4 linked regions of the Stegostoma tigrinum genome follow. The protein of the gene in region 1 interacts with the protein of each later gene in a pairwise test. Links are inferred from orthologs where the notes say so. Each region holds a gene or a part of one and is shown on either strand. Other genes may lie near its edges. The genes, in order: cul3b, shkbp1, abtb1 and rho-related BTB domain-containing protein 2-like.

What was found.
Region 2: the proteins of cul3b (region 1) and shkbp1 interact in binary tests that used the Homo sapiens proteins (3 or more experiments, as listed by UniProt). The link is inferred for Stegostoma tigrinum from reciprocal best matches to the Homo sapiens genes CUL3 and SHKBP1.
Region 3: the proteins of cul3b (region 1) and abtb1 interact in binary tests that used the Homo sapiens proteins (3 or more experiments, as listed by UniProt). The two-hybrid records come from large-scale screens. The link is inferred for Stegostoma tigrinum from reciprocal best matches to the Homo sapiens genes CUL3 and ABTB1.
Region 4: the proteins of cul3b (region 1) and rho-related BTB domain-containing protein 2-like interact in a two-hybrid assay, tested with the Homo sapiens proteins (2 studies listed by BioGRID). The link is inferred for Stegostoma tigrinum from reciprocal best matches to the Homo sapiens genes CUL3 and RHOBTB2.

Annotation. Positions count from the first base shown.
Region 1 is NC_081367.1:24,434,223-24,441,891, forward strand, and holds the start of cul3b (cullin-3b), read right to left. Parts: upstream 3,080-7,669; 5' UTR 2,810-3,079; coding exon 2,747-2,809; intron 1-2,746. UniProt on the Homo sapiens protein: Core component of multiple cullin-RING-based BCR (BTB-CUL3-RBX1) E3 ubiquitin-protein ligase complexes which mediate the ubiquitination and subsequent proteasomal degradation of target proteins.
Region 2 is NC_081392.1:21,636,388-21,643,915, reverse strand, and holds the start of shkbp1 (SH3KBP1-binding protein 1), read left to right. Parts: upstream 1-4,454; 5' UTR 4,455-4,528; coding exon 4,529-4,584; intron 4,585-7,528.
Region 3 is NC_081364.1:5,672,378-5,680,214, reverse strand, and holds the start of abtb1 (ankyrin repeat and BTB/POZ domain-containing protein 1), read left to right. Parts: upstream 1-4,816; 5' UTR 4,817-4,984; coding exon 4,985-5,040; intron 5,041-7,837. UniProt on the Homo sapiens protein: May act as a mediator of the PTEN growth-suppressive signaling pathway. May play a role in developmental processes.
Region 4 is NC_081393.1:4,691,181-4,699,308, forward strand, and holds the start of rho-related BTB domain-containing protein 2-like, read left to right. Parts: upstream 1-5,023; 5' UTR 5,024-5,475; intron 5,476-8,128. UniProt on the Homo sapiens protein: Regulator of cell proliferation and apoptosis. It likely functions as a substrate-adapter that recruits key substrates, e.g. MSI2, to CUL3-based ubiquitin ligase complexes for degradation. Required for MSI2 ubiquitination and degradation.

The sequences.
Region 1 (7,669 bases):
ATGGAAATACAAATTTTCTACTCTTGATAGATTAAAACATATCTAGGAATTTATTCAGATATTCTAATCATGCTTACAAGAATGAAATCTGATCGGAATGCATCAAGTTCTGTTCAGCAATGTTACATTCCCCTATTATGAGCCTTTTTACCCACCCGTATTGTGTCTATCATCCTGTTCAGTGTTGATAGAAAAAAATTGAAATGCTCTTCGTAATTTTAGGTAACTGCCAATCAGGTTAACCATGTTGTAAATAATTCAGTATTCATGCTACACCCCATTTAAATCAAAAACCTCTAGCACTAACTGAGTGGTCTTGGCAATGCTGCAAATACAATTGTCTGAATTTCACTTTAAAGCTATTTTTACAAATGGATCAACGTAGCCAAACAATGTATTTCAAAGTGTCTTTTTTCACACCATTAAAATGCATATTCTACATTAAAATGACAATCATGTGCAAACTGATTCTAAAACTGACCAACAACTGTTCCATTACGAAGATGTAAATTTTCTGCAGGGGGCCTTTATTTCTAGTTGGCATTAAATTCGATGAATGTGATTTTGCAAATGATACAGTACAATAGTAGTATAGTTAGAGAAGGCAGCTGAATCAGTAAAACAATAACTATATAATTAATTGTAGTAACTAACATTGTTTAGTCATTTCAATATAAACACCAATACAGCATGATCTCATTTACTTCTGAAACATTTATGATACTGAAACTGAATTTTTGTTTTTAAAAAGATATCCTGATAGTACAACAGATGGTAACTCAGAACTCAAAGTGGTAATGAGCAAGTAATGATCACCAATTCATAGAGGATCTCAAATCACTGCTGTAGGAAATGGGCAATGCAGGCAGCAGTAAATACCTACTGTTACCCCACAACACTGGGAGAAGCCATGAGTATGCTAACTAATGATCCTCAACTGACCAGAAAATGAACAATGTGGGTGCAGGTATTCTGTTTTTATATATGGAAGATATCATAAGCCAAACCAAAACTAAAAAAAAATATAGTTTTTGCACTTCAGCTTTTCATTTTACAATCCAATCTTTCAGTTGTGCTTTGATTAAACACAGCTGAATTAGTTTTTGGACATCTTGAACTACACTGCAAAGGGTTCCTATGGGAAGCACCTGCTGGTAGAAGTACAGAACTTAGTGAGTAGGCCCCTGTTCAATATCTCTAATGTCCATTTTCACAAACATATCAGCTAAACAGCAATCTTGGCTTTGCTCTACAGTTACTCCTGAGCACATGACAGAAGTAATAGAATTAAAGTAATTTACATTGGCAATACACCACATAATTCTATCCTTTTAATTTTTCAAATTACGGTCAGTGATCTTTACACCATTTAAAAAATAACTTTAGTTAGCTTAGGAGAATTTTTTGAAAGTACAAAATTGGTTAGTACCGTTTAATTCCACTCTGTTTAGTAATTAACAAAGTTGATGTCTTTCAGCAAATATACCATACAAAGAACATCCATAAAGTAACATACCAATTTCAGAATTATATACAGATCAGCAGTGTCAAAATGTTACAGAAGTTGCATAAAAAACAGTATGACGAACGCTTGGCACAAATTATTTTAATTGAACATGTTCCGCTAGTAAACTTGAAACTGTGAACAAACGTTATGCTGTAACCTTGTGCCTACGAAACTCTCAGTGTATGAACTTTAACAGTAACTTCTACATAGGAAGTGCTCCTTGTCCCGCTTATACAGAAGTTGTTTCACATGTTGAATGTGTTATTCTTCCAGGTAGAAGGCAATCACCGCACAATTTCAAATTCATTTGAGGGGAGGGGATAAAACACTTGCTATCTAGTTTGCCCTGCTTAAAAATTTATTAATACTGTTATCCTTTGCAAAATATTTTCAAGCAGTTAAGTGCTGTTTGAACAGTTTCAAACTTTCACCAGTAGTTGCAAAAATATATTTGAGCTTACTACATATGTATTTCATATGATATACAGCAAATCTGCTGGAAATGATTCGAGCATTTCTTTCAAGGTTTTCAACTCACTAAGGTCAATTCTGAAGGAGACATTCTTCTCACCTTTCAACTTATGCATATTGCAAAAGATAGAGAACCAAATATTCCACCAGGCGTTGGTGTACCAGTCCAGTCACAAAGCTCTTACCAATTAAGTTTTCAGAGCATAACCCAAGTTATTGTGACCACAAATCTAAGTATTCAGTAGTGAACCAGTCCATGTCACAGACCACCTAAAGAGTGTTTCAACTTGACTGAAAACACAGTAAATACTTAACATTCCACACTACCATTCCATCACTTTCAAAAGAAAGCTAAAAATATCCGAAGTTGTGAAACTATTTCAGAAAACGTAAGCCGCACCTTACAACTTATTACCTAGTGTTTCAATATGTCAGAACCAATAATATTCTACAGATTTTTTTGGGGAGGGGGCTGATGGCGAGAGAAAGATGGAGGAAGTGAATTAAAAAATGACAACATAACACAGCGCTTTGTGTTCCTGAATGGGGGAGGTCATCACAACAAACAGCCAAGGATTAAAACAGCCTCTCTGTTTGGCCTTCACGGAGCACCATGAATATTAATCAAACGATAAGGGGCCTGCTCCTGTGTTGACATCCGTAGAAGCCCGGGCCCTCGATTTGAAGCATTCGCAGCCTCTCTGTCCCCGTGCGGCGCATTTCCTTTCATTTGTTCTGTTAAATTGCGGCTACGGGGTCATTACTTACGGGAAACGCTCGTATCCTCATCTTGGTGTCTTTCTTCGTCCCAGCTTTGCCCAGGTTTGACATGTTGGCGGATGATTTCTTTCACATAGGACTCACTTACAGGGGAGGAGAGAAAAAGAAAAGGGGGAGTGGAAGTTCCGATAAAAGACCGAGCTACAATTAAACCTCTCGATTAGACGGGATCCACGGCCAGTGATTCGGGTTGATCTGACCCCCTTCAAGTGAGAGGCAGCAGGACCTTCGACCATGAAACAATTTTTAATATCAAAAAAAATCTGTTGGAAAATACCAGCCCGGCTCTATGGCGGCCGAAACCTTCAGTGCGCAGGTCAGTCGACAGTCCGATATCGCGAGAGCTCGGCCCTGTACTCGCAGGGAGAACACGAGACTGACGTCCGCAGCAGTGACGCGTCAGGCTCTGTCAATCAACCTAGGAACTGTCAATCAATCTGCAGCTGTCAATCAACCTGGGAACTGTCAATCAACCTGCAGCTGTGAATCGACCTGAGAACTGGTCAATCACTGCAGCTGTGAATCAATCCGAGAATTCTCAATCACTGCAGCTGTGAATGAACCTGTCACTGTATATCAACCTGGGGAACTGTCAATCACTCTGCAGCTGTTAGTCAACCTGTCACTGTCAAGCAACCTGGGAGCTATAAATTGCTATGGAGCTGTCAATCAACTTGTATCTGTCAATCAATCTGGGACCTGTCAATCATTCGGCAGCCATCAATCATCCCTGGAACTGTCAATCACTCGGCAGCTGTAAATCGCCCTTGGCCTATCAGTTACCCAGGATTTGTCAATCACCTGGAGTTTTCAATCAAACCCAGAGCTGTCAGTAATTCACAGAGTTGTCAACCACCCAAGGAACTGTCAATCAGTCCACATGCTTTCAATCACATTGTGAGCTGCCAACCATTCTGTGAGCTGCCAACTACCCAGGGAGCAGTCAATCACCAGAAGCTGGGAACATCACTCACTCTAGGAACTGTCAGTTACCCAGGGGCTGTCATTCACCCTGTGAGCCATGAATCATTCAGGAACTGTCAATCACTCTTGGACTTGTCATTTACCCAGGGAGCTGGCAATGTGATTAATGCAGTGATCAAAGACTCGAATAGTTTCACACTGCTGCAATCCTGTCAACCCACTAGGAACTGTGAAAAACCTAGCCAACCGTTAAACGCGAACTGTAAATTCGCCCCACAAGCTGCCAATCTTCCTAAGAGCTGTTAATCTCCCAGAAATTTGTCAATCGCCCACAATCCGGTGTGTTGTAGATCCTCTAGGGAGTTGTCAACCAACTAGGAGCTAATAATCATCCTGGGAACTGTCGATCATTGGCAAAGATCTCAGTTATCTAGGCTACAGTCGATCATAAGTTATGTCGTATTCACCTTTGAAACAGTGAATCACGTCAAGAGCTGTCAATATCCCTGAAAGCTGCCAGTAACCTGAGGAGTTGTTAATCATCCAGAAGGCTTTTAGTCAACAAGGGTGCTGTGAATTACCTCAAGAGCTATCAGTTATCTGGGACTCTATAATTAACCAGGAAGCTGGTAATCACTCCAAAAGCTGTCAACCACCCTGTGACCTGAAAGTCTTCATGGGAGCTGTTAGTTGCCCCATGAGCTGTCAATCACTTCAAAGTCCGTCAATCACTTGGGAGGATTAAATGACCTAGGAGCTGGCAATAGTTCAATGGGGGTAGTCAGTTGTGTTGAAAGTTGTCAATTACCCAGGGAGCTGAATTAACACAAGGAGTATCAATCATGTAGAGAGCAGCCAACAATCCAGAAACTGTTAATCACTGTAAAACCTGTCAATAGCCTGCTCACTGACGCTCATGAACAAAAACAAATTTCTGGAAAACTCAGCAGGTATGGCAGAATGAATATTTTGGGACCAGCCACACTTCTTCAGAACTTATTGTAGCTGGGAGGGAGTTGTTACATATGCTGATTATGGGGTGGAAGGAGGGGATCTGTCTGCAGAAATGACTCTGAGCTCTCACTAACTCTGACTTCTCTCCACAGATGCTGCCAGATCTGCTGAGATTTTCCAGCAATTTCTGTTTTTGTTTCTGATTTCTAGCATCTGCCGTTCTTTTGGTTTTTTGGTTTAGTGAGCTTTCGGTTGTCTGCCACTTCCACACACCACTATGTTTTGTCGCTAACATCTCTGTCTCGGGTTTGCTGCAGAGCTCCACAGAAGCTCAACACAAGCTGTAAGAACAGCACCTTATTTTCCACTTTGGAACCCTACAGCCTATGGACTCGATACCGAATTCAACAATTTTGGGGCTTGAGCACCTTCCCCTTGACCTTATTTCCAACCCCACACACCAGACCTTGTTATTACATGGGCTGCTGCCAAAAACAAACCATTGTCAGCCACTAAGAGTCCCCATTAGCAGCTGCTAATTCTCCTAGGTTGACCTGTACCCATGTTTTTGTCTGCACAACTGTTTTTCTCTCTCTCTGGTCTCCACCTCTGCCTATCCCTTACTCCAACCCCCTTCCCCCACCCCCTCTCCATAGATCCTGTACAGTCAGTTCTGAAGAAGGGTCATTGGATCTGAAATGTTAAAATTCTACATTTGCTCCACATACATTGCCAGTCCTGCTGAGTTTTTCCAGCAATTACTTGTTTTTGTTTCTGATTTCCAGCATCCACAGTTCTTTGTTTTTTTTTCACTGATCATCAGTTTGGGCTCTGCTAGGACCACTCAGTTCCTTACCTTATTATAGCATTAGTTCAAATGTGGACAAAACAGCTAAATTCTAGAGATGACGCGAGAGTGATTACCCTTGATGTCAAGTCTGCAATTTTACCAAGTTTCACATCAAGGAGCTCCATCAAATCTGTAGTCAGTAGAAATCACAATTGTGAGGGGAATCTCTTTGCGGGTTCAAGTAATATCTGTACCAAAGGACAATGTTTGGGATGTTGGAGGTCAGTCAACTCAGTTCCAGGATATCTCTGCAGGTATTCTTCAGGGGAATGTCCTAGGCTGAATCAATTTCAGCTGCTTCATCAATGACCTTCTCTCTGTCATAAGGTCAAAGTGGAATGTTTACTGATAGTTGAACAATCTTCGGGCACTATTTGCAACTCCTCGAATACTGAAGCAATTGACATCTAAATGCAGCAAATCCTGGACAATATCTAGGTTTGGACTAAAATGTGGCAAGTAACTGCCAGGCAATGACCATTTCCAATAAGAGAGGATCTTACCATTGCTTCATGAAATTCAATAGCATTACTGTCATTTATCTCTCCATTCTAAAAATCTTGGGGATTAACATTGACCAGAAAATGAACTGGACACTCCACACAAATAATGTGACTACACAAGCAGGTAAGCAGCTAGGAATCCTGCAACAATAACTCAACTCTTGATTCCCCAAAGCCTGCCTGCCATCTACAATCCACAATTCCTGGGTGTGCTGGAATACTCTCCGCTTGCATGCATGAGTGCAGCTCCAACAACACTCAAGAAGCTTAACACTATCCAGAACAAAGTGGCTTGCTTGATTGGCACCACATTCACAAACATTAACCCTGTCTACCACTGATGCACAGTAGCAGCAAGCAGTATGAACTGTTTACAAGATGCACCACAGAAATTTACCAAGGCTCCCTTGAGAGCAGCTTCAAACCCATGCCAACTTCCATACAGAAGGACAAGGCGACAAGTGCACAGGAACACCAGCTCCTGCAAGCTTCCCTCCAAAAGCATTCACAATTCTAACTTGGGAACATATAATTGTACGTTCAGTGTCACCAAGTGGAAGCCCTGGAACTTTCTCCCTTAGGGTATTGTGGTTTGACCCCACCAAATAAGTTGCAGAAGTTTAAGGAGGCAGCTCACCACCCTTCTCAAGGGCAAATAGAGATGGGCAATAAATGATAGCCCAGTGGACATCACCGACATCCCATGAATGAATAAAAACATCACTCACACATTCCATTTTGGGTGTAATCAATCCTGAGCATCATTCCCCTGGGGAAATGCCAATATCACATCAAGTGCTGTAAAAATCCTTGAGTGCAGCCAATCATCCAACAGTGTCCTGTTTCTGTAGCATAGTGGGTATCACATTCACTTTACATGCAAATGAATCCCGGTTTGAAACCAGGAAAGAGCATTTGTGTAGAAAACTGAATGCTGATTTACCCTCTCTTTCAATCACCCAGAGGACTGTCAATCAACTGATAAGCTGTAAATTAGCTCACGAGATGTCAATTACCTTGAAATGGATCATTAAAAAGGAAACTGTTAGTTACCCCGACAACTGTCAACGACAACTAAAGCTGTCAGTTATCCTGAGTGTTGCCAACTGCTGAGGAGTTGTCATAACTATGGTGAGCTGTTAATTTTCCTGTGAGCTGTCAGTCACCTGGGAAATTGTCAATCAGCTAGGATGCTGTTAATGACCCAGCAGCTGTCAATTATCTGGGGAGTTGTCAAACTAATCATGCAGAGATCTGTCAATCACTAGTGCTATCACTACTCAGGAAGCTGTCAATCAAACCAAAAGTTGCCGAACATGCCGACAGCAGTCAGTAACCCAGAAGCTGTCCATCACAAGGAGGGCTGTCGATCTCCATGAGACCTGGCAACCATTCATACAGCTGTCAATCAGACAGTGTGCAGACAATCATGTCAATAATTCAGGGAGCTGGCAGTCTCATTGAGAGCATCAATCTTCCTAAGAGTTGCCAATCACCCAAGAAGTTGTCAGTCATGCATGGAGCTGTTATTAATGGGAAATTTTGATCAGTCAGAGAGATTTTAAACATTTCTAGAGCAGTCAACCACCCAGAAGCTGTCAACCATCTGGGGTACCAGCCACTGTCAATCACCCAGTGAGACACAACTGTCAATCAGCCGAGATGCTGCTGCTGCTGTTG
Region 2 (7,528 bases), on another chromosome or scaffold:
GACCAGCCGGCCGGCAAGGGGACGTGGAAGCTCAACACGACTCTGTTGACCCCAGAGAACGTCGAGGAGCTTAAGAGGGAGTACCGTGGAACCCCTCTTTGAGTCTCCAGGCGACTGGTGGGAGACGGTGAAGGAGAACATCAAGAGGTTCTTTGTCCTCAAGGGTGTTCAGAAGGCGAGAGAGAGGCGGGGAAAGCTGTTGCGACTCCAGAAAAGGGTGCAGAACCTGCTCCTTCTGCAGTTGATGGGGGTCGATGTCACGGAGGACCTCCGCGAGGTGAGGGGCCAGCAAGCCTCGCTCTTCGCCGCGGAGGCCTCCAGGATAATCTTCCGGTCCAGGGTCCGCTCCGTGGAGCAGGACGAGACGTGCTCGCGTTTCTTCTTTCAGAAGGTGCACAAAGAGAGCTCTGTGCTTAGCCGGCTGAAGGAGGACGACGGCTCGGTGACGTCGTCTCGGCCCGACGTTTTGAGGATCAGCAGATCCTTCTATGCCGGACTGTACGACACGAAGCCCACGGACAGCACGGCCTCCGAGTCGTTCCTGTCGTCTATCACGGAGGTCTTAGATGACGGCACGAGGGAGTGGCTGGACCGGCCGATATCCCTGGACGAGCTGGCCAGAGCCCTCAAGTCCTTGCAGAGGAATAGGACTCCCGGAAGTGATGGCTTACCGGTCGAGCTGTATTCTGCTCTGTGGGGCCTGGTCGGCCAGGACCTGCTGGAGGTGTACGATAGTGCGCTTCGGACAGGGGAAATGTGCAAGTCCATGAGGAAGGGCATCATCACCCTCATTTACAAGAGGAAGGGGGGGAGGGAAGAAATTAAGAATTGGCGTCCCATTTCACTTTTGAACGTGGACTACAAAATCCTGGCCAAGGTCATTGCCAACCGGGTCAGGTCTGTCCTGGAGTCGGTGATTCACCCTGACCAAACCTGTGCTGTGCCGGGCAGGAAGATCGCTGAGAGCTTCGCGCTCATCAGGGATACGATCGCCTACGTACAGGACAGGCGGGTGGACACCTGCCTCATCAGCCTGGACCAGGAGAAGGCCTTCGACAGGGTCTCTCATGCTTACATGAGGGACGTCCTCTCCAAATTGGGGTTCGGGGAGGGCATCCGCAATTGGATCCGGCTGCTCTACGCCAACATCGTTAGCGCAGTCTCGATCAACGGGTGGGAATCAGACAGTTTTCCTGTTAGATCTGGAGTCAGGCAGGGCTGCCCGCTCTCTCCTGCCTTGTTCGTGTGCTGTGTGGAGCCCTTCGCCGCCTCCATCAGGAAGGACGTGAGCCTGAAGGGCGTGACTATCCCAGGCAGCGGAGGCCTTCAGGTCAAGACCTCCCTGTACATGGATGATGTCGCCGTCTTCTGCACCGATCGTCGGTCGGTGAGTAGGCTGTTGGACATCTGCGGCCAGTTTGAACTGGCCTCGGGTGCCAAAGTCAATAGGGGTAAGAGCGAGGTCATGTTCTTCGGGAACTGGGACGACCGCTCCTTCATCCCCTTCACCGTCAGGACAGACTACCTGAAGGTGCTGGGTGTTTGGTTTGGTGGAGCTGGGGCATGCACTAAGACTTGGGAGGAGCGTATCTCCAAATTTAAGCAGAAGCTGGGCAAGTGGACGCTCCGGTCCCTCTCCATCGCGGGTAAGAACCTGGTTGTCAGGTGCGAGGGGCTTTCGGTACTGTTGTATGTGGCGCAGGTCTGGCCTATTACCTGGACCTGCGCCGCTGCGGTCACCCGGGCCATCTTCCACTTCATTTTGGGGTCGAGGATGGACCAGGTCCGCAGAGATACCATGTACAAAGACCTGGGAAATGGGGGAAAGGGCGTACCGAACGCCACCCTCGCCCTGACGGCTACCTTTGTGTGTGGCTGCATCAAGCTGTGCGTAGATCCTCAGTACGCAAACACCAAGTGTCACTACTTACTGAGGTTCTACCTGTCCCTGGTGTTGCGAAGGATGGGCCTGGCCTCGTTGCCGCGGAACGCTCCGAGTAGTTGGACCGTTCCGTACCACCTGTCCTTCGTGGAGAAATTTTTGAAAGGAAACACCTTTGACCACAAGGCCGTCAGGCAGTGGTCAGCACGTAGTATCCTCAGGACCCTTCGGGAAAAGGAGAGGGTGGATCCCGTCGTGTGGTTCCCCATGCAGACTGCCAAAGTCGTTTGGCAGAATGCCTCATCGCCAGAACTTTCAAACAAGCACAAGGACATTGCTTGGCTGGCGGTGAGAGGGGCTCTGCCAGTGAGATCCTTTATGCATTCCCGGAATCTCTGCACCACCGCACGCTGCCCTCGAGGTGGCTGCGCGGGGGACGAGACTGTCGATCACCTCCTTCTGGAGTGTGCCTATGCGCAGGAGGTCTGGAGGGAGATGCAGTGGTATTTGTTGAGGTTCGTCCCGAGCAGCTCCGTGACGCGGGACTCCGTGCTCTACGGGCTGTTTCCGGGGACGCACACCGAGACCAACATCAACTGCGCCTGGAGAACCATCAATGCAGTGAAAGACGCTCTTTGGTCTGCCCGCAACTTGCTGGTCTGCCAGCTGAAAGAACTGCCCCCGACCGAGTGTTGCAGACTGGCGCACTCCAAGGTCCAGGGCTACGTGCTGAGGGACGCGCTAAAGCTTGGGGCAGCCGCCGCCAAGGCGCGGTGGGGAAAGACCACCGTATGAGCCCCCTCGTCCAGAAAAGGGAAAAGAATCCTATCTGGTAACTGGGCCCAGCTGGCGTCTTCCCCAACTGGTCAGGGGGCCAACTGGGACTGTGCGGGGTGACGACTGCCGGGGCGGTTTCTTTGCTTTGTTTTTTTTTCTCTGTTTTGTTTTTTTTTCCCTTTAGTTGGTGTACGTACCCCCTGGGTAACCCGGAGTGGCTTGCATGACTGGGTAGGTGTATAAATGTTTTATTTTTTGTACATTCTATGAATAAAGTATATTTTTTTCAAATAAAAATAAAGGTGATGAAACGTCTGAAAACGAACCTTTCAGCTCAGCGAGCAAACTCACATCCAGGACCTCAACCTGAGCTACAAATCTTCTCAAAACTCGCTAGTTTGTATGATCTCCTGTCTTACTCCTATGCAGAAGCCATGAGACTGTAATCAGGAGCAGGGGCATTAGTTGGTTTCCTTTTGACATTAGAGTGAGCAGAAGAGAATTTTGTGGTGGAAAAACTAATGACATTTATTAACTGTCTGTACTTCCAGATAAAATCCACATTTAAAAGGAGATTGATTCAAGACCGTTTCAGTGTTCAGTTATTGGCTACTCTGAGGAGTAAATGTAATTACATCACAGACTGCTTCCTCAGGGAAATATAGCAAAGTCTGACATTCAATTAATTCATCAATAAACTTCCTTAGTCATCTGATTCATTTGAGTCTTCAGAAACAGAAGGAAGGTGTGCAAACCTGATACTTGTTCCTGCATTTATCTGGACTGATTCTGAAAATCTTAACTCCATCTACCTGCTATGGTTTTGTTATTCTTTATTGCCTTACCAACAAAAGGCTACTAATTTGTTTTAAAGATTTTAAAATTTCATCCATCTTTTGAAGGAGTGCATTCCAGATTTCCATAATTCTTTAGAGTTTTAAAGTTGTAAAGTTCAAAGCATAGAAAATGGCCCACTGCCCTTCTAGTCTGTCAAAAACAAGCGCGCAACTATCCTAATCCCATTTTCCAAGGAACTTAGCCCATTGCCTTGTGTGCCTGGGCATCACTACTGCACATCTAATTTTTTTTAAACGTTATGAGGATTTCTGCCTTGAACACCTTCACAGTAAGTTCCAGATTCCCAGCACCCTCTGGATGGAATAATTTTCCTCACATTCCCTTGAAGCCTCCAACCCTTTGACTTAAATTGAAGTCTCCTGGTCGTTCATCCCTCCATCAAGGAGAAAGGTTTCTTCCTGTCTACTTGTCTCAACCATTCCCTCTGTATTTTGATTTGAGGATTATGTAAAAGTCTTGTATTCAACTATTTACATCTGAATAACTCTCACCATCTATCACAGTTTCAGCTATTAATACTCCTGCTCAGTCAATCTTTGCCTCATCCTTACTCAAACTTTAAAAACTGTGTTCCGTGACTCTTCCTCTCTTGCAGTCAATTTACTGGCTATTTCATGGCCCTCATTCTCTTTACGAAATGGGAAATGTTAATCAGGCCACATCCTGTTGACTCAAGAGTCTATTGTTTCAGAAAAAAAAGAGTTGTTTGTTTCTCTTGTATTTCTACGACTTACTCTCAGTGTCCTGTCACTTTAAGAAATTGTGGCACTCCAGAGGAGATGTCCCTTTAAAAAAGAGCCTTGCCACTGAAGCCGATGCAAAGTACCCTGGGACTGAGGGAGAAGTTTGAATGATAATTAATCTGACCAATCAACTAATAAAACCGGAACGACGTTAACAGATTGAAGCCAATCCGTTTGTGGCAGGGGGTGGGACTAAAACACACCCAAAGTTTGATGAACTTGTTTGAGGAAGTTGGGGATTGACTGAGCTTTCCTGGGATGGTGTGAAATGGCAAATATCGCCCAGCCTGGTGAAATTATACATCTCAATGTGGGAGGAAAGAGGTGAGTAAGGAACAGATTGGTATTAATTGGGCATTAGAAATCCTCTCATTATCTGGGTCACTGTCTTGCGTGGGGTGTTGGAGCTGTTTGAGTGCACACTGCCTCCTAATCTCTGTCTTCAGCAACCTGTCTTTTTTCCATTTCTTTCAAGGTTTTGTTAAACAGCGACGTTTGTGGTTATTACTGAGTCTGATAGTTATGTTCTATTATTAAAACCAGAAATACTGGCTGCAGTAAAGCAGTATTGCGCAGAGAACATGTTCGAGTTTTGGGTTGTGACTTCAGAATTACAGTTTCTGTTTTTTATTAACAAGAATAGTGAGAAAGAGTTGCATTTAGCGTGTGCCTTTCAGAACCTCTGGATGTCCCAAAGTGCTTGGCAGTCGATGCCATGTATTGACTGTTGTAATGTAGGAAATGCTGCAGCCGATGTTCACCGCAAGATTGTGGGGAATGATCAGTTTGTCTGCTTCAGTTATGCTACTTTGTTTCAGAAATTCCTCTTTGTCTCTCACAACAACATCTGTTTATATCACACCAAGCTACCTCATGTAGCTCAATGTGATTACTGATTTTAAAATCCTCTGTGGAGAAAATTAGGCCCTTTTGTTTTTTATTGCATTTAATGCTGCTACCTGAATGCAGGTTGTTGTTGCTCTGTGATAATTATTTGTTAGAATGTCAAAGGGGGGGTGGGAGGATTACAAAAAACAACATCCCTGTTCTTCCTTGGAATACTGTTGTTGCACTGTGCAACTTCCCCTGCCTTCCCCCTTAAGGTGCTCATCATGACTCCCAATCTCCTTCAGAATGTGCCCCTCCCCATGTCTTCATGATTGGTCTGGATATACGTGTGACTACTGGACAATAGCTGTTAGTTTCAGTAAGTGGAACCTGACCCCATCTTTGCCTCCAGCACAAACCCATGATTAAGAATAAATGTTTCTTTTATTTTATTCAGATTGTTGTGGATTCCAGCTGGGGGATGTTCAGCGGGGAGTGGGGAAAGTCTGGATGCCACAGTTACTTTCTCAGCAAGCGCTTGATGTGGCTGTGTCTTTCTCTGAGGAGGTCAGGGGGTGTCTGGGCATCTGCCCCCATGACCTTTTGTCGTTTTGCCTGGGTTCAGTGATCGGTAGTTACTCACTCACTGTTTCATTCAAGTGCCTATTTGCCGTTTCTGGCCCCAGAGGGAATCAGACTAATTGACCACAGACAGCATCACCTCCAAGTTTGATGCAAGACAAAGGCAGATGAGGAAATGAAGAAACCAAAGCTGGTTCTATAGGAGATGTCAATATGAAAATGCAGAATCATTACCAGCAACCACCTTTGAATTGGTTATTTTATCTGAAATTTTTGAAGTTGGTAGTGTCCAGAATGCTGTAAATTACCAACTTGAGAGAGGAGCTCATTGATCTTTGTGTATCTGCACAGCAATATGACTTTGTACACCTCAATCGGGTCCTGTTGTGTAATTGAGAGCAAAGATACCTCGGAATGCAATGGAATCTTGATCAGATGGGCAAGTGGGCTGAGGAGTGGTGGATGGGGTTTAATTTAGGTAAATGTGAGGTGCTGTAATTTGGAAAGGCAAAACAAAGCTGGAGTTGTACACTTGATGGAAAAGTCCTTGGGAGTTCTTCTAAACAAAGAGACCTTGGAGTGTAGGTTCATTGTTCCTTGAAAGTGAAGCTGCAGGTAGACAGAATAGTGAAGAAGGCATTTGGTGCAGTTCTATTTATTGGTCAGGGCATTGAATGCCAGAGTTCAAAAGTCATGTTATGGCTATACAGGGCATTGGTTAGACCACTATTGGAATACTGCTTGCAATTCTGGTCCCTGACTGTAGGGATGATGTTGTGAAAATTGAAAGGGCTCAAAAAAGATTTACAAGGATGTTGTGGGGTCGGACGGTTTGAGGCACAGGGAGCGGCCAAATAGGCTGGGGCTATTTTCCCTGGAGTGTCAGAGGCTGAGGGGTGACCTTAGAGGTTTATAAAATGATGAGGGGCATGGATAGGGTGAATAGTCAGGCCTTTTTCTGAGGGCAGAGGAAGTCCAAAGCTAAAGGGCATAGGTTTAAGGTGAGCGGGGAAAGATTTAAGGGACGTGAGGGGCAACTTTTTCATGCAGCGGGTGGTGTGTGTATGGAATGAGCTGCAGTGAAAGTAGTAGAGGCTGGTACAATTGCAACAGTTGAAAAGCATCTGGATGTTACGTGAATAGGAAAGGTTTGGAGAGATATGGGCCGAATGCTGGCAAATGGAACTAGATTCATTTAAGATATCTGGTTGGCATGGATGCGTTAGCCTGAAGGGTCAGTTTTGTTTTTGTGCTGTACAGCTCTATGACTGTATTGATACAGTGCAAGAAGCCAAGGACAGCGCGGTGTGGGGTGAAACAAAGAAACGAAGAAACCTACAGCACAGGAACAGGCCCTTTGGCCCTCCAAGCCAGCGCCGATCAAGATCCTCTGTCTAACCTGTCATCTATTTTCTAATAGTCTGTGTCCACTTGTTCCCTGTCCATCCATGTACCTGTCCAAGTATATCTTAGCAGACGCTAAGGTGTCTGCATCTACCACCTCTGCTGGCAACGTGTTCCAGGCACCCACCACCCTCTGTGTAAAGAGCTTTCCACACATATCTCCCTTAAACTTTCCTCCTCTCACTTTGAACTCATGACCCCTAGTAATTGAATCCCCCACTCTGGGTTTTGGGGGGGGGGGGGGGAGGCGGGGAAAAGAGAAAGCTTTTTGCTATCCACCCTGTCTATACCCCTCATGATTTTGTAGGCCTCAATCAGGTCCCTCCTCAATCTCTGTCTTTCTAATGAAAATAATCCTAATCTACTCAACCTCTCTTCATAGCTAGCACCCTCCATACCAGGCAACATCTTGGTGAACCTCCTCTGCGCCCTCTCCAAAGCGTTCACATCCTTT
Region 3 (7,837 bases), on another chromosome or scaffold:
ATGATCTTTAGGTTACCACTTGAGCCATGAGCTAAACTGTCACAGGGTCAACATATAGAGGTAAACGTGTAACTCAAAAATAGATGTGGGAGAAACAGTTTCAGAGATTGTAGGAACTGCAGATGCTGGAGAATCTGAGATAACAAGACGTAGAGCTGGATGAACACAGTAGGCCAAGCAGCATCAGAGGAGCAGGAAAGCTGACGTTTTGGGCCTAGACCCTTCAGGTTTGATTTCATGGGACATTAGCAGCAATACTGAACTGTTCTGATGGTACAAGCTCCACCTGCATCATGCTTGCACTGGAGTCCTGGTAAATCTTATAACTACGGTTGTGATTAGGCTTCAAACTAAATAGAGTGTGGAGAGTTGAAGATAACAAAGTGTGGGGTTGGGTTAACACAGTAGGCTAAGCAGCATCTTAGGAGCACAAAAGCTGACGTTTTAGGCTGAGACCCTTCATCAGAAAAGGGGGATGGGGAGAGGATTTTGATACAAATAGGGGGAGAGGGGGAGGCAGACTGAAGATGGATAGAGGAGAAGATAGGTGCAGAGGAGAGTATGGGTGGGAAGGTAGGGAGGGGATAGGTCAGTCCGGGGAAGATGGACAGGTCAAGGGGGCAGGATAAGGTTAGTAGGTAGGAAATGGAGGTGCGGCTTGAGGTGGGAGGAGGGGATAGGTGTGAGGAAGGACAGGTTAGGGAGGCGGGGCCGAGCCGGGCTGGTTTTAGGGATGCACTGGGGGGAGGGGAGATTTTGAAGCTGGTGAAGTCCACATTGATACCATTGGGCTGCAGGGTTCCCAAGCGGAATATGAGTTGCTGTTCCTGCAACCTACGGGTGGCTTCATTGTGGCACTGCAGGAGGCCCATGATGGACATGTCGTCCATTGGTTCAGTTGCATGGAAAATTATAAAATCAAACGTAAAGGAGAAAGTAGGATTATAATGATGGGGTTGGGGATGATTGTTACCAGAAGATAAAAGGAAGTGAGAATGTCATATTGCATCGAGGAACGATATAGTTGTGGGGAAATTTGATAATAGAACAAAGATGAAGGCTTTGTATCTTAATGCTTGAAGCATTCAGGATAAGATGGATGAACTAATAGGAAAAATTGAGGTAAATGAGTATATCTTATAGCCATAAGGGAATCATGGTTATAAGGAGATCAAAAGCGGGAACTCAACATTCAGGTAGTGGAGAGCTTCTGAGCCCAGGACTTGTCTGCTTTTCTTTGTTTCCTTTTTTTACCTCTCTTCCTTTTATAGTTCACTTCTATTTTACTTTACTTACTGCTTGGTGAAGGGTTCAGACTTGGCAAAGGCATCATCGGCACAGACTCATGGCGGGATGGGCAGAGGCGAGTTTGGGCCCACTACCAGACCTAGCAGCAGCTGCACTGGCGAGGTGAGCCCCAAAGCGGGCTTGTGGTGGCAGTACTTGGTGGGGCTGTTGCACTTCCCAGCCACTTTGGTGGCGTCTGCATTGGCAAGGTCCACCAAGGACCCATAGCGGTTTGGGCATTGATGGAGGCAGGATGGCACCAAAGAATGATGACTTTTATTCTAGCAGGGGGTGGGCGCAGAGAAGGGGCCTCATGCCTGGCCACCTGGCCCACGATGGAGCACTTAATAAAAAGGACTGTAAGGTGGGCACTTCTTTCACTGTCACATTTTTCTGCCTTTATATTCTGATTTGTTTTATTTTTCTGCATTTTAAGATGGCGCCAGAGTGTAGTGATGCTGCACACCACTTTTCACCACATTTTGTAACAAGATACACATGACAAGAAATAAATCTTACCGAGGCAATTTCTTCAGCCAGAGGGTGGTGAATCTGTGGTACTCATCACTGCAGATGGTTGTGGAGGCTGAGCCATTGGGTGTATTTAAGACAGAGGTTGACAGGTTCTTGATTAGTAAGGAGGTCAAGAGTTATGGGAAGAAGGCAGGAGAATGGGGTTAAGAAATATAATCAACAATGATCGATTGCTGGAGCAGAAACGATGGGCTGATTGGCCTAATTCTACTCCTATATCTTATGGTCTGATGGAGGTCATCATGAAGCAGAATTAAGACAAAATATGAAATTTAAACGTTAAAGCACACTGTCTAACTGAAGATGATTTTTGATTAAAGTGGAAGATCTATAAATTAGATTTCAGATCTGTTAATAAGGATGTATTAAGGTCACAAGCACAAGTTTTATTTGGGTAAGTTGGGGGAAATTAAAATATCATAGCTGTTTACAAAGAAAATCTTGAAGACAAAGCAAGAACAGTAAATAATCACATTAGAAACAAATGGCAGGAACTTTCCTAGGCCCGAAATGTCAGCCTTCAGAAAGATTTCTGAAGAAGGGTCTAGGCCCGAAACGTCAGCCTTTCCTGCTCCTCTGATGCTGCTTGGCCTGCTGTGTTCATCCAGCTCTACATCTTGTTATCTCAGATTTTCCAGCATCGGCAGTTCCTGCTATCTCTGCGTAATTCTTTGTTTTGTTTTCGTGTTTAGTTCATGTGACACCTCTTCTGGGTACGTCCATCCTGAAACCTACCTCAGTGCAATTCATTGCCGTATGCGAACTCTCGACCTCTCTCTCCATCTGCATCACCTCGTGCTGTCTCAGATCTCTCCTGCCTCCCATTCCACTTTCATTGTCTGATCGTTCAATAGTCCTGAAAAAGAGTCACTGGACCTTAAACATCTACTCTGCTTTCTCACCACAGATGCTGCCAGACCTGCTAAGTTTCTCCAGAAATTTCTATTTTGGTTTCAAATTGCCATCATCCCGCAATTTTTTGTTTTCTGGTAAATCTCTTCTGCGCCCTCTCCAGGGCATTTGCACATTTCCTATCAGGTGGATTGTACACAATATTCTAGCTGTGGCCTAACCAATGTCTTATACAGTTCCATTACCACCACACTGCTCTTAAACTCTGTCTCAATGAAACAGCAGTGCCGCCTTTGTGTCCAGGCAAAGTAGACTGTCTCTGCTTGTTGTTGAAAGTGAATGGTATTTGGGGGCCATCTTGTGGTGTAGTGGTAATGTCCCTACCCCTGGCCCAAGAGGCCCAGGTTGAGTCCCACCTGCTCCAGACACGAGTAATAACTCCTCAGAACAGGTTGATTAGAAAAAGAAGTTAAATAAAAAAAGAAAATAAATTGTCCCGTGTGTGTTCTTCACCACTTTATCCACCAGGCCTTAAGGGTTCAGTGTATACACACACCAAGGTCTCTTCATCCATGGTGCTTCCCATTCATTTCTTTTGTCTTCATTTTCTTGCCCAAGTGTATCACATGTATCCAGATTGATTTCCATTTGTCACAGGCCAGCCCATCCATATTGTCATTTCCTGCGTTGGTGATGGATGGCAGGAAATGACATCACCAACCCAAGGAAACCTAATCAGATAAATAGAAAGCGGGACATAACACCAGCGCTTCGTCGGAGGCTCACTGATGATGTTACCTAGAATGGTGACGAAACGTCTGAAAACTAACCTTCCAGCTCAGCGAGCAATCTCACATCCAGAACCTCAACCTGAGCTACAAATCTTCTCGAAACTCGCTAGGGCCAACATTCTCCCCTGTGGACCTAAACAGACACAGATTTCCAGTCACAAAAAGAAACCCAGTCAACCATCATTCTCTGCATCATGACACTCAGCCAAATGGGGACCCAATTTGCTAAATTTCCTTGGATCCCATGGGCTCTTGGCTTCCAGTCAGTTTGTACAATGTCGGGAGGACCGTTACCTCCTCCCGACCAGCAGGCGGTGCTCTGACGGGCAGTTTGTACAAAGTCGGGAGGACGGTTACCTCCTGCCGACCAGCAGGCGGCGCTCTGATGGGCAGTTTGTACAATGTCGGGAGGACGGTTACCTCCTGCCGACCAGCAGGCGGCGCTCTGATGGGCAGTTTGTACAATGTCGGGAGGATCTGTTCCTCCTCCCGGGCGGCAGGCGGCGCTGTGATGGGCAGTTTGTACAATGTCGGGAGGATCATCTGTTCCTCCTCCCGGGCGGCAGGCGGCGCTGTGATGGGCAGTTTGTACAATGTCTGGAGGATCTGTTCCTCCTCCCGTGCGGCAGGCGGCGCTCGAATGGGCAGTTTGTACAATGCCGGGAGGATCTGTTCCTCCTCCCGGGCGGCAGGCGGCGCTGTGATGGGCAGTTTGTACAATGTCTGGAGGATCTGCTCCTCCTCCCGTGCGGCAGGCGGCGCTGTGATGGGCAGTTTGTACAATGTCGGGAGGATCATCTGTTCCTCCTCCCGGGCGGCAGGCGGCGCGCTGATGGGCAGTTTGTCCAATGTCGGGAGGATCTGTTCCTCCTCCCGGGCGGCAGGCGGCGCTGTGATGGGCAGTTTGTCCAATGTCGGGAGGATCTGTTCCTCCTCCCGGGCGGCAGGCGGCGCGCTGATGGGCAGTTTGTACAATGTCGGGAGGATCTGTTCCTCCTCCCGGGCGGCAGGCGGCGCTGTGATGGGCAGTTTGTCCAATGTCGGGAGGATCTGTTCCTCCTCCCGGGCGGCAGGCGGCGCGCTGATGGGCAGTTTGTACAATGTCGGGAGGATCTGTTCCTCCTCCCGGGTGGCAGGCGGCGCTGTGATGGGCAGTTTGTACAATGTCGGGAGGATCATCTGTTCCTCCTCCCGGGCGGCAGGCGGCGCTGTGATGGGCAGTTTGTACAATGTCGGGAGGATCTGTTCCTCCTCCCGGGCGGCAGGCGGCGCTGTGATGGGCAGTTTGTACAATGTCGGGAGGATCTGTTCCTCCTCCCGGGTGGCAGGCGGCGCGCTGATGGGCAAAGTGCGCAGGTGCAGTTACAGCAGTCGGTCGTGTTTACATTCGAAACGGTCGTAAACACCGCCTGTGGAGAGCAGCTCACTGAGCGAGCTTTAAATAATAAATAGTAAAACTACACTGGGCTCCGGCGTCACGGAGTCGATGTATCGATTCCCAGCTTCAGCGAAGGAGAGAGATGGACACGAGCGAGTTATTCACCAGCTGCAGGAAGGGGGAACTCTCCAGAGTTCGGTGAGTGCGGCTGAGGCCCAAGTGCAGTCGGTTAGTGTGGGGTAAAACCCTGAGGGTGAGGGGGAAAATGTGAGGGAAAGTGGGGGAATTGGGGGAGAGGGAGATGGGGGGAGTAGAGGAGAGGGGTGGGTGGGGAAATGGGGTGATGGCAGTAAGGGGGTGGGTGGAGGAATGGGGGTGTGATGGAGAGAGTAGTGGAGTGACACAGTACAGAAGCTTTCCCTTCTGTCCAACTTGCCTGTGCCGACCAGGTTTCCCAAACTGAACTAGTCCCATTTGCCTGTGTTTGGCAGACATTCTTCTAAATCTTTCTCGTCCATGTACGTGTTCAAATGTCTTTTAAATGTTGCACTTCGACTCATCTCTACCACTTCCTCTGGCAGCTCATTCCATACACCAGCACACTGTGTGAATAAGTTGTCTTAGGTCTCTTATAAAGCTTTCTTCTCACCCTGAACCTACCTTGGGAAAAGACCTTGGCTATTCACCTTATTTTATGCTCCTGATGGTTTTATAAACTTTTATAAGCTCTCCTAAATTCTGGGTTAAAAAAGCCTGAGCCTCTCCTTATAACTTAAACCCTCTAGTCTCGGTAACTTCCTTATAAATCATTTTTACACCTTTTCCACTTCAAAAACATCCTTAAAACTGTGTGACCAGAATTGCACACAGTACTCCAAATGTGGTCTTACCAGTGACTTGTATGGTGGTAACACGATGCCCTAACGCCTGTACGCGGTGTTCTGACCGATGAAGGCAAGTGTGCCAGCCGCTGCCTTCACCATCCTGTCTATCTGTGATGTCACTTTCAAGGAACTATGTACCTGCACCCCTAGGTTTCTGCCCTGGTTTTTCTTACCAAAATGCATCACTTCTCATTCATCTAAATTAAACTCTAGCTGCAATTCCTTGGTCCACTGATAACCTTCTTCACCATCCACTATACCACCAATTTTGGTGTCATCCATAGAACTCAATAACCATGCCTGCTATACTCTCATCCTCATTGTATATGTAAATGATGAACAACAATGACTCGGGAATGGGGGTGTTGGAGAGGAGAGGTGGGGAGGTAACTTAAGAGATGGGATTGTTCAATGGAGGGATAGAGGGAAGGGAGAAAGGTGAGGGGAGGGGAAGTAGAAGGGAAGGGAGAATTGGAGCAGGAAGGGAGCAAAAGCAGGAGAAATGGAGAGAGAGAGAAGGTTGCAAGAAGTGGAGTAGGGATGGCAGTGAGGCAGAATGGAGGTGGGAGGAGAGGAGATGGGCTGGAAAGTAGACCTAGTGGAATGACCTGCCAATTCTGAATTTATTATTGTAAGATTCCTTAGTATTAGTGCAGGAGCAACAACAGCTCTTGACATTGGTATGAAGGAAAAGATAAAGCTGCCATAGTTCTACTGGACCAAAGCACTCCTCTCTATTATTAAACAGAGGAGAGTTGTGGTGGTATAACTTGAAGTACACCACATCTCAGGAAAGACATTGAGGTGAGTCCTTCATGGTAACCTCAACCTGTACAGGTGTAGTGTATGTACATGGATTTTCTGTCTGCATTGTGTATTAGTGTGCAAAGCTTCCAGTACATACATGCAAGTGCACCACAGTGAAAGCCCCACTGACCGTCTTAAGTTGGTCACTAGCATAATTCTTGCATGTTCAGAATTATTGTGTAAACATTGTCCAGTTGCAGTTCATATTTAATGTTACACACCGTCGTAAAGTTTAGAAGCGGGGACTGGTTGGATGTGGGCAGTACCTTACTTGTTGCAAACAGCTGAAGGGACAGGCTGTTTGATGCAGTTCAGAAGTCTTTCAATTCAGCCTTCTGACCTGGCACTTCTACTATCTGATTCACTTTGTACGGTACGATCTGCCTGTAGAATGCACAAAACAACACTTTTCACTGTTATTTTAGTACATGTGAGAACAACAAATCAAATCTATGGAAGGATATGGTGGGGTGGGGTTGCAGAGAAAATTCACAAGAATGATCCTGGGGATGAAGGACTTGTCATATGTGAGGCAAACAACAATTCTAGATCTGAGATAATAAAGTGTGAAGCTGGATGAACACAGCCGGCCGAGCAGCATCTCAAGAGCACAAAAGCTGACATTTTGGGCCTAGACCCTTCATCAGAGAGGGGGATAGGGTGAAAGTTCTGGAATAAATAGGGAGAGAGGGGGAGGCGGACCGAAGACGGAGAGAAAAGAAGATAGGTGGAGAGGAGAGTGTTGGTGGGGAGGTAGGGAGGGGATAGGTCAGTCCAGGGAAGACGGACAGGTCAAGGAGGTGGGATGAGGTTAGTAGGTAGGAGATGGAGGTGCGGCTTGAGGTGGGAGGAAGGGATGGGTGAGAGGAAGAACAGGTTAGGGAGGCAGAGACAGGCTGGACTGGTTTTGGGATGCAGTGCGTGGAGGGGAAGAGCTGGGCTGGTTGTGTGGTGCTCTGGTGGGAGGGGACGAACTGGGCTGGTTTTGGGATGCAGTGGGGGAAGGGGAGATTTTGAAGCTGGTGAAGTCCACATTGATACCATTGGGCTGCAGGGTTCCCAAGCGGAATATGAGTTGCTGTTCCTGCAACTTTCGGGTGGCATCATTGTGGCACTGCAGGAGGCCCATGATGGACATGTCATCTAAAGAATGTGAGGGGGAGTGGAAATGGTTTGCGACTAGGAGGTGCAGTTGTTTATTGCGAAGCGAGCGGGGGTGTTCTGCAGAATGGTCCCCAAGCCTCCGCTTGGTTTCCCCAACGTAGAGGAAGCCACACCGGGTACAATGGATACAGTATACCACA
Region 4 (8,128 bases), on another chromosome or scaffold:
TTAGAATCTGGTCCAGAGCTACTTGACCATCGCAAAACACAAATGCAACATGGTACGCTGGTTTTATTTCATTTAGATGTCAACCTCAGCTCACTGGCCGCACTCATGAGGCAATGTTAAAGGGACTGTATGTTCAAGCACAATTCCAGAGACTTGAAAACAGAGTCAAAGTTGACAATTGAGGTGCAATCATTCATGTAAAGGCTTTAACCAAGACCCATTTGCCTTCTCAGATATGTGCAAACAAGTTTATTTTAACTGCTGAATGATGAGCAAGGATTGGTCTATTGACATCTGGATGATATTTATCCCGCTGTCAGCGTCACAACAAGATTAACTGCTTGTGTGTTATTGGCGTAGAATCTTCCTGTGTGTAATTTGGGTCCTCTATTCCACTGAAGACAATGGTGATTGTGCTTCATAAACACTTCATTTCCCTAGTCCTGCACTCATCCCTGGAACATCTGGACAACAAGGACACCAATTTCAGACTTCTGCTCATTGACTACAGCTCTGCCTTCCACACCCTTACCTCTATCAGACTGATCTCAAAACTCCAAGATCTAGATCTCAGCTCTGCTCTCTGCAACTGGATCCTCCACTTCATGACCCATAGACTGCAATCAGTGAAGATAGACAACTGCACCTCCTGCATGATAACACTAGAGCTCTTGAGGATGCATTCTCAGACCCCTTCTTTTGTCCCTCTATAACCACAACAATTGCCAAATTCAAAACAAACATCATCGACAAGTTTGCTGATGGCATCACCATGGTAGGATAGATATCAAACAACCATGAGTCAGATTACAGAAGGGTGATAGAGGGGTTTGTGACATGGTGCAATGATAACAACCTCTCTCAATGTCGGCAAAACTACATTGACTTCAGAAAGAAAGGAGGAGAATATGACCCCATCTGCATCAACGGAGCAGAGGTTGAGACCTTTAAGTTCCTAGAATGACAATAACCGACAACCTGTCCTGGACATCCCGCGTAGATGTAATGGTCAAGAAGGCACAACAATGCCTCTACTTCCTCAAGTGGCTCAGGAAATTTGGCATGTCCATGAGGACCCTCACCAACTTTTACAGATGCACCATAGAATGCATACTGTCCAAGTGCATGACGGCCTGCTCTGCTCAGGACCATAAGAAACTGCAGAAGGTGTATGCACAGCCCAGACTATCATGGATGCCAACCTCCCACCCATGGACTCTGTTTACACATCTCATTGCCATGGAAAGACTGCCAACATCATCAAAGACCTGTCCTACGCCAGTGATGCTCTTCAACAACCTCCTGCGTCAGGCAAAAGATAGAAGCTTGAACACACGCACTAGTGGATTCAAGAACAGCTTCTTCCCTGCCATTATTAGACTAATGAATGGAGTCTCTAACTTCAAATAACATTGATCTTGCCAACTGCACATCCCTACATGCAGTGTAACCTGTATGCCTTATTCTGTCCCAGTTTTTTTTCACCCTATGATCTGTATGCCCTTTTTTAATGTGATCTGCTTGTACTGCTCGCCAACAAAGCTTTTCACTGTATTTGGGTACACGTGACAATAAGTCAAATCAAATCACATCAAGTCATTCATTGCAAAATGCTTTGAGACATTCTGAAAGACAGAGCAGATAAATAGAACTATTTTATTTTAATGTATTTCCTATTGTTTATTTCCTCCAGTACTTGGACATTTACATTTCCTTGTTACTTGCCTTCCTCTTTGCAATCCCAATCTATGTTTCATGCTTCCATCAGTGTGATCAAATTCATTTGTTACCCTGCACCAGCATTTCTTCTTTGCCCATGTTTGTCCCTTACTTGAAGCAGATGCGCTGAAGTCAGTAAATATTTCACTGGAAAGAAAGATTAGACAGCTTCTACAGAGACGGAGTTTGCCACGCAACTCCAGTTTTACGCACAGGTGGCAAGGTCTAAAATCTATCTCAGTTTAATTTAGGAGATTCATAAATGTCACAAAAACCAGCCCTGTCTTTTTGGACCAATAACTTGCTGCCCTTACCAATCTGGTTTATGGACATGTAACTCCAATCCGAAAACAACAGTTGATGCTAAACTTTCTTCTGAATTGGCCTAGCCATCTACTTAGTTTTATCAAACTATTCCAAATTGCTGTTTTTTTTAAAAATTTATTCACAGGTGAGAGTGTCACTGGGTTAGACTGGCCTAATTGCCCAGAGGCTAGTTAATAGTCAACCACATTGCTGTGGGTCTGGATTCACATGTAGGCCAGACCAGGTAAGATTGGCAGTTTCCTTCCCTGAAGGATTTTAATGAACCGGATGGGTTTTTCTGACAATATGCAATGGTTTCATGATCATCATTTGACTCTTAGTTCCAGATTGTTTTCTTTTATTCAAATACCACCATCTTCCATGATGGAATATGAACCCAGGATCCCAGACCATTTTCTGAGTCTCTGGATTAACAGTCCAACGATAATACCATTGGCCATCACCTCCCCTATGTCTCACTATCAATGTGTTAAGAAACATGGTAATGACATTGTCACATGTGACCTGAGGGTATAAAAGCATCAGATATCATCTTAACTGGAGTCACTTGAAGCATGACACGCTGACAGAAGAATGAATCCCTGGTTAAAATTACATTACTGTTTTTGGGATCCTGCTGTGCACAAATTGGCTGCTGCACTTCCTTCAGCATAATACTGACAACACATCAAAAATACTTAATTGACTATTGAACAATTTGGAACATACAAACATTCCAAAAGATGCTAAATAAATGCAAATCCATTTCCAAAATAAAGGCGTACAGGAATCTTTGAAATGGTCACATTGAGCTAGACATATTATTCTAATGCTTCTGAAAAAATTCCTCATTGGCCACCTCCAGCCTTGACAAACCTCCTAACCGCTGTAACCTCTTCCAGCCTGCCATATCTTTGTCACCTTTACTGAAGAAGGATCATGAGACTCAAACAATTCCAGATCCAAGTTTGCCTTACATGATTCAGAAGTGTAACAATAACTTGCTTATAGACAGTGCCTTTAGTGTAGTTAAACAGGAATACTATTAAAGATATTAGAATGAGTGATCAAATGCTTCCTCAAAGGGATAGATTCAACAATGTAAAAGAGCCAACCATCATGAGTGAGTAGCAGAGCCTCAGGTTTCGGGCAGTTGTAAGGCAGCCAACAATGGCCATGTCATGTAAACCATTGATGTGCAACAGATGAAAACTTGTGCAGAGACATGGAGGGATGTAGGACTGGAGAAGGTGTCAGAGATAAAGAAAGGTGTAGGGCTAGGGGAAGTTACAGACATAGGTCTAGGCCTGAAGCATCAGCTTTTGTGCTCCCAAGATGCTGCTTGGCCTGCTGAGTTCATCCAGCTCCACACTTTGTTATCTCGGATTCGCCAGCATCTTGAGTTCCCATTATCTCTGGTTGACATTACGAGTCTGGTATGACTTTTTCTCAGAGCTCAAGCCGCTGTTTAACTTTTACTGTTGCCTTTTACAATATAGTTTTGAAATATTTGTGTGTTTTTAAAGAAAACACATTTATCTTCCAGTCAATGGAATTGATAGAGAAGTACAATCTCTTTAGTGCCGGGGATTTCCAACGTGCTGCTCAGTTTGTCATGGTGAGGGTTCATATTGAAACATCCCGCCAATGAGAAACGTCAATATACTTAAAAGGTGGTCATATAAGTTACTGAAGAGGATGGGAAACAAAAGTTGAATTAGAGCCAGACATCAACAATTGAGAAGGCAGGGGCATATCATTTGGATGAAAGCCTCATGGACAGCCACTGGCGTACACGGTTAGAATCATTTCAGCAACATTCACCAGTTTCAAAATCTCCCCTTCCCCTACTGCATCCCTCAACCAGCCCAGTTCGTCCCCTCCCCCCACTGCACCACACAACCAGCCCAGCTCTTCCCCCCCACCCACTGCATCCCAAAACCAGTCCAACCTGTCTCTGCCTCCCTAACCGGTTCTTCCTCTCACCCATCCCTTCCTCCCACCCCAAGCCGCACCCCCCGCTACCTACTAACCTCATCCCACCTCCTTGACCTGTCCGTCTTCCCTGGACTGACCTATCCCCTCCCTACCTCCCCACCTACACTCTCTCCACCTATCTTCTTTACTCTCCATCTTCGGTCCGCCTCCCCCTCTCTCCCTATTTATTCCAGTTCCCTCCCCCCATCCCCCTCTCTGATGAAGGGTCTAGGCCCGAAACGTCAGCTTTTGTGCTCCTGAGATGCTGCTTGGCCTGCTGTGTTCGTTCAGCCTCACATTTTATTATCTCAGCAACATTCGATTTGCGTTTACCCCCTTCACAAATATAGCCTCGCCCGGATAGCACATGCATAATTTCTATCAAAGTTTGGCTTTGTGCCCGTGTTCATGTCGGGTTTTGTTGTGTTTCTGTTGTTAGCATCAATGTATCTGTTTTTCAGGGACAGAAGACAAAAAAAAAATCAGACTCAAAACATTCGCTTTTGTTTCTCCCTGCACAGATGCTACTGAGTTGCTTCAGAATGTCCACTGTTTTCAAAATATTAATAGACCCCGTCCCTATCGTTTTTGTTCCTCAGGCAGAGATGGAGCAAGTGTTCACACAATCGCAATTACGTGCATGAATTAAATGCTTCTTTCTGTGAAGGCATGAGTTTCAGAACTATTCTTAGTGTGGAAGTGTCTGTTGGACATGTGCTGTTTGGAGGACGCAAGCTTTCTAAGCTCAGCTCCTTCCTCAGGCTTGTGTTTTAAAATAAACCTGATGTCGTGTGATTTTTGACTTTATCCACGCCACTAGCATCTCCACATCACGGTTTGTAGATGAGGAGGGTTTGGGGAAGGGGGCGGTGTTTTATTCTTCCGGTGCTCTCGAATATCGGATGAAGGACGTGACCCTAGGCCAATGGAGGTTTCGGTAACGCCCCTAAGCCTGGTGACAGCGCAGTGGGGGTGGGTGTTGTCTGCGCCAATCGGGATGGGAAAAGTAGGTGGAGACAGTCCTCCCCAGCTCCTCGCTCTCTGCAGAATCTCTGCTCCTTTTTATGAATGAAGTAACAACTGCAGCATGAGCCTGTTCCAGCCGATGGTTATCAGGAACGAAAAACAATCTTACTTCATACATAAATCTGCAACCTTTATTGCCACCTCTCCGATTGCCACCCCTCCCCCCCACCCCCGTCCTATCGCTTTCCCACATTCGGGAGCCAGGAGCAGGGCGCTGTAATTTTTGCGGAAAGATGATTTCTTCAGGGATTTCGGCTTGTGGCGCGATCGTTTCTCTGTCTTAGTTCATAGCGTGAAGTCATTCCGTTTGCTACAATGTCGAATTATTTATTTTTAATTGACACATTATTCAAATGGATACAATGACGAAGATGCTTGCGACTCACTGAAAAAAGGCGAACAGAGAACCTACTTCCTCATTGAAGAAAGATTTTTCCATTCAGCACGGTGCGTGATGATTTATTCCCTTTTTTTCCTGATATATATCTGTGACTCTGTGTGTGTGTGTGTAAATAGACATATATCTTTCCGCTTCTATTTTGGGAAATGTCTCCCCCAGTCTGTCTGTATTTAAGAGTCTATCCGATCTCCTCAACAGCTAAATTGAGCTGGTTGTCGTGGTAACAGAAATCGGGATGTGGACTCTTCCGAGTGCAGACCACAGAAGCTGCTCGCACTCGGCTTGAGGGCTGGGTCCCGCACTCAGTTCGGATGAAGCCTGACCCGCAGCAAACGCTACATGTGACCAAGCTTCTGGTCTCCTGCCGAAGCCGATCATGTCAAGTTTGAGTGTATTTGCGCTCCCCACCCGACGAAAGCCTTCTCGGGCTGGACTACTCATCAGTAACGTGGCAGGGATTCATAACTCTGATTCAAACCTTTAACTTACCGTTTTCCGACTGCAATCGCACATCTCCGGTCGGCCCTGACTTTGGCATGTGTTTCCAAGTGGCAGTTTACATGCAGCTTTTTAAAAATAGGTTCAACCTCTGATTTACTTTTCTACGTGTGGCAAAGAAAAGTCCAGCTTTTCTGCCCCACCACCATATACTTTATTCATGAAATTTATCAAAATACATCACAAAACATTTCAACCTGAGCATGACAGAATTTGCAAGAAAGCTCAACTTCTGCCTTGCAGCATGTTTCAACTGCACGAGTCTAGCAAAATACACTCCATGTCAGATAGACAGCCCGGGGAAAACAAATTCAAACTAGAAATTGCAGAAAGTGCAATTTTCTTTTGTCAGTGCTTCTTTGAGGTATTTCAGTATGTTTTGATGCTCTTGATACACAATGTATCTTGTGAGGCCCCCAGTCTCTGAAATTTTACAGTTTCCAGCCCCTTGGTGCACATTGGCTGAAAGGCCTGAGGCAGTGACCTTTGCCCGTTACAGAAAAAGAAAATGCATACAGAATTGATAACGAATGAAGCATTTCAGAGATCATAACTCTATGTCTAGCCACGTGATAGATTAGTTCAAACACACCTTAATGCAAAAATGGATGTGTGTTCAAGGTCAATAAGGGCCACAATGATTTTATTTCATTCTTCCATGAGATCTGTGTGTCAGTGGCCAGCATCTGTTACCCATTCCTTATTGTTCTTCAAATGAATAAACTGTTGTACCATTTCAGAGGGCAGTTGAGAATCAGTCAGACGACTGGGTTTGGAATCATATGCAGGCTAGTCCAGATATAGATGGCAGGCTTTGTTCTGCAAAGGAAATTCAAAAACTAGATTGACTGTTCCAAAATACTGTGTTGATTTGGTGGCACAATTTCTGACATGAACTTTAGTTCCAGATTTTGTTAAATTAATTTGCATTCAACCAGTTGCTCTAGTGGAGTTAAACCGTCATCTAGCAGCATTAGCCTGGGCAAAGTATCATCCGCTGCCCCCCCTCCACCCAACTTAATCCATGGTTTATTATATCCACAGGGTTTTTACAATTCAATATCTTATTTACATGGATTTAAACTTTAAAAGCTATGTCTAAGTTAGTAAATATTTCCATTGTAAAAACCACTAGACCTAGACACAAAACAAAACAGTTGACGTAACTCAGTTTCTTTATTACTGTTTGTAGATTTTGAACGTTAGTCAGTAGAGTTTTAGTAAGTGACTCAACACATAATTATTCACATGCTAGAGCACAAAACATCCATTGTAAAATTTACCAAATTAGTAATCCTTGCAGGTTAGGTTTTGTACACAGATTCAAACATGTAGTAAAATTTAAAATGGCAAGATTTAACTTGCATTTGTGGCATTGAAATTTTGGGGTTATGTAACCTAAGGAAGTAACTACAGCATTGGTCTAATTGAATGATAGAATGGGATGGGGGAGACATGAAATGAAACCAGCAAGTACTGGAGAAACTCAGCAGGTCTGGCAGCATCAGTGGAGAGAGAATTGGGTCATGTTTCAGGTTGAAAGACTCTTTTTTGATGGTGTGAATGGTCTTTCCTTTACACACGTTCTTATAAAGCCAATGCAGATATTTTAACCTTGCAATAGGTTTGCTAACGCCAGTATCAAACTGCCTGAAAGCATTGACTGTCTTATGTGAGACAAGTCATGTGTGAGCCTGTGTGTTGTATGTCTGTGTGTGAGGCTGTGAGGTTATCCATGTGTTTGATACTTGAATATGTTGTGCCCAGAAGCAACCAGATGAAGAGCATGTTATTCCACTGTACGCACAGACATATTTTACCTCGCCATCTTTTAATTTATTCCTCAATTTGATCAACATTGATAGAGGTCATTTATTGCCCAGGTATTAAGAGGCAACTCAATTTTATAGGATTGGAGTTAAATGCTCATTAGCGTAGCAGGATACCTTGTCTGAAGTGGATCTTAGGTATGCATTCTGCAGTGTAATCTACCTCATGATTTTATCTGTGTGAGAAAATTATTGTTAGGCAGGCTTTATTGCAATGGATGGACAGAAAATGACCAATGTGACTGACTCAGTAACCTTAAGGTTGAGGAAATGAAATAAGCTGGATGTGAATAGCGCCTTTCATGACCAAAGCACTTGACAGCTGTGATTTACACTTCAAGTATAGTCAGTTGGAAATTTGGCAGTCAATTTG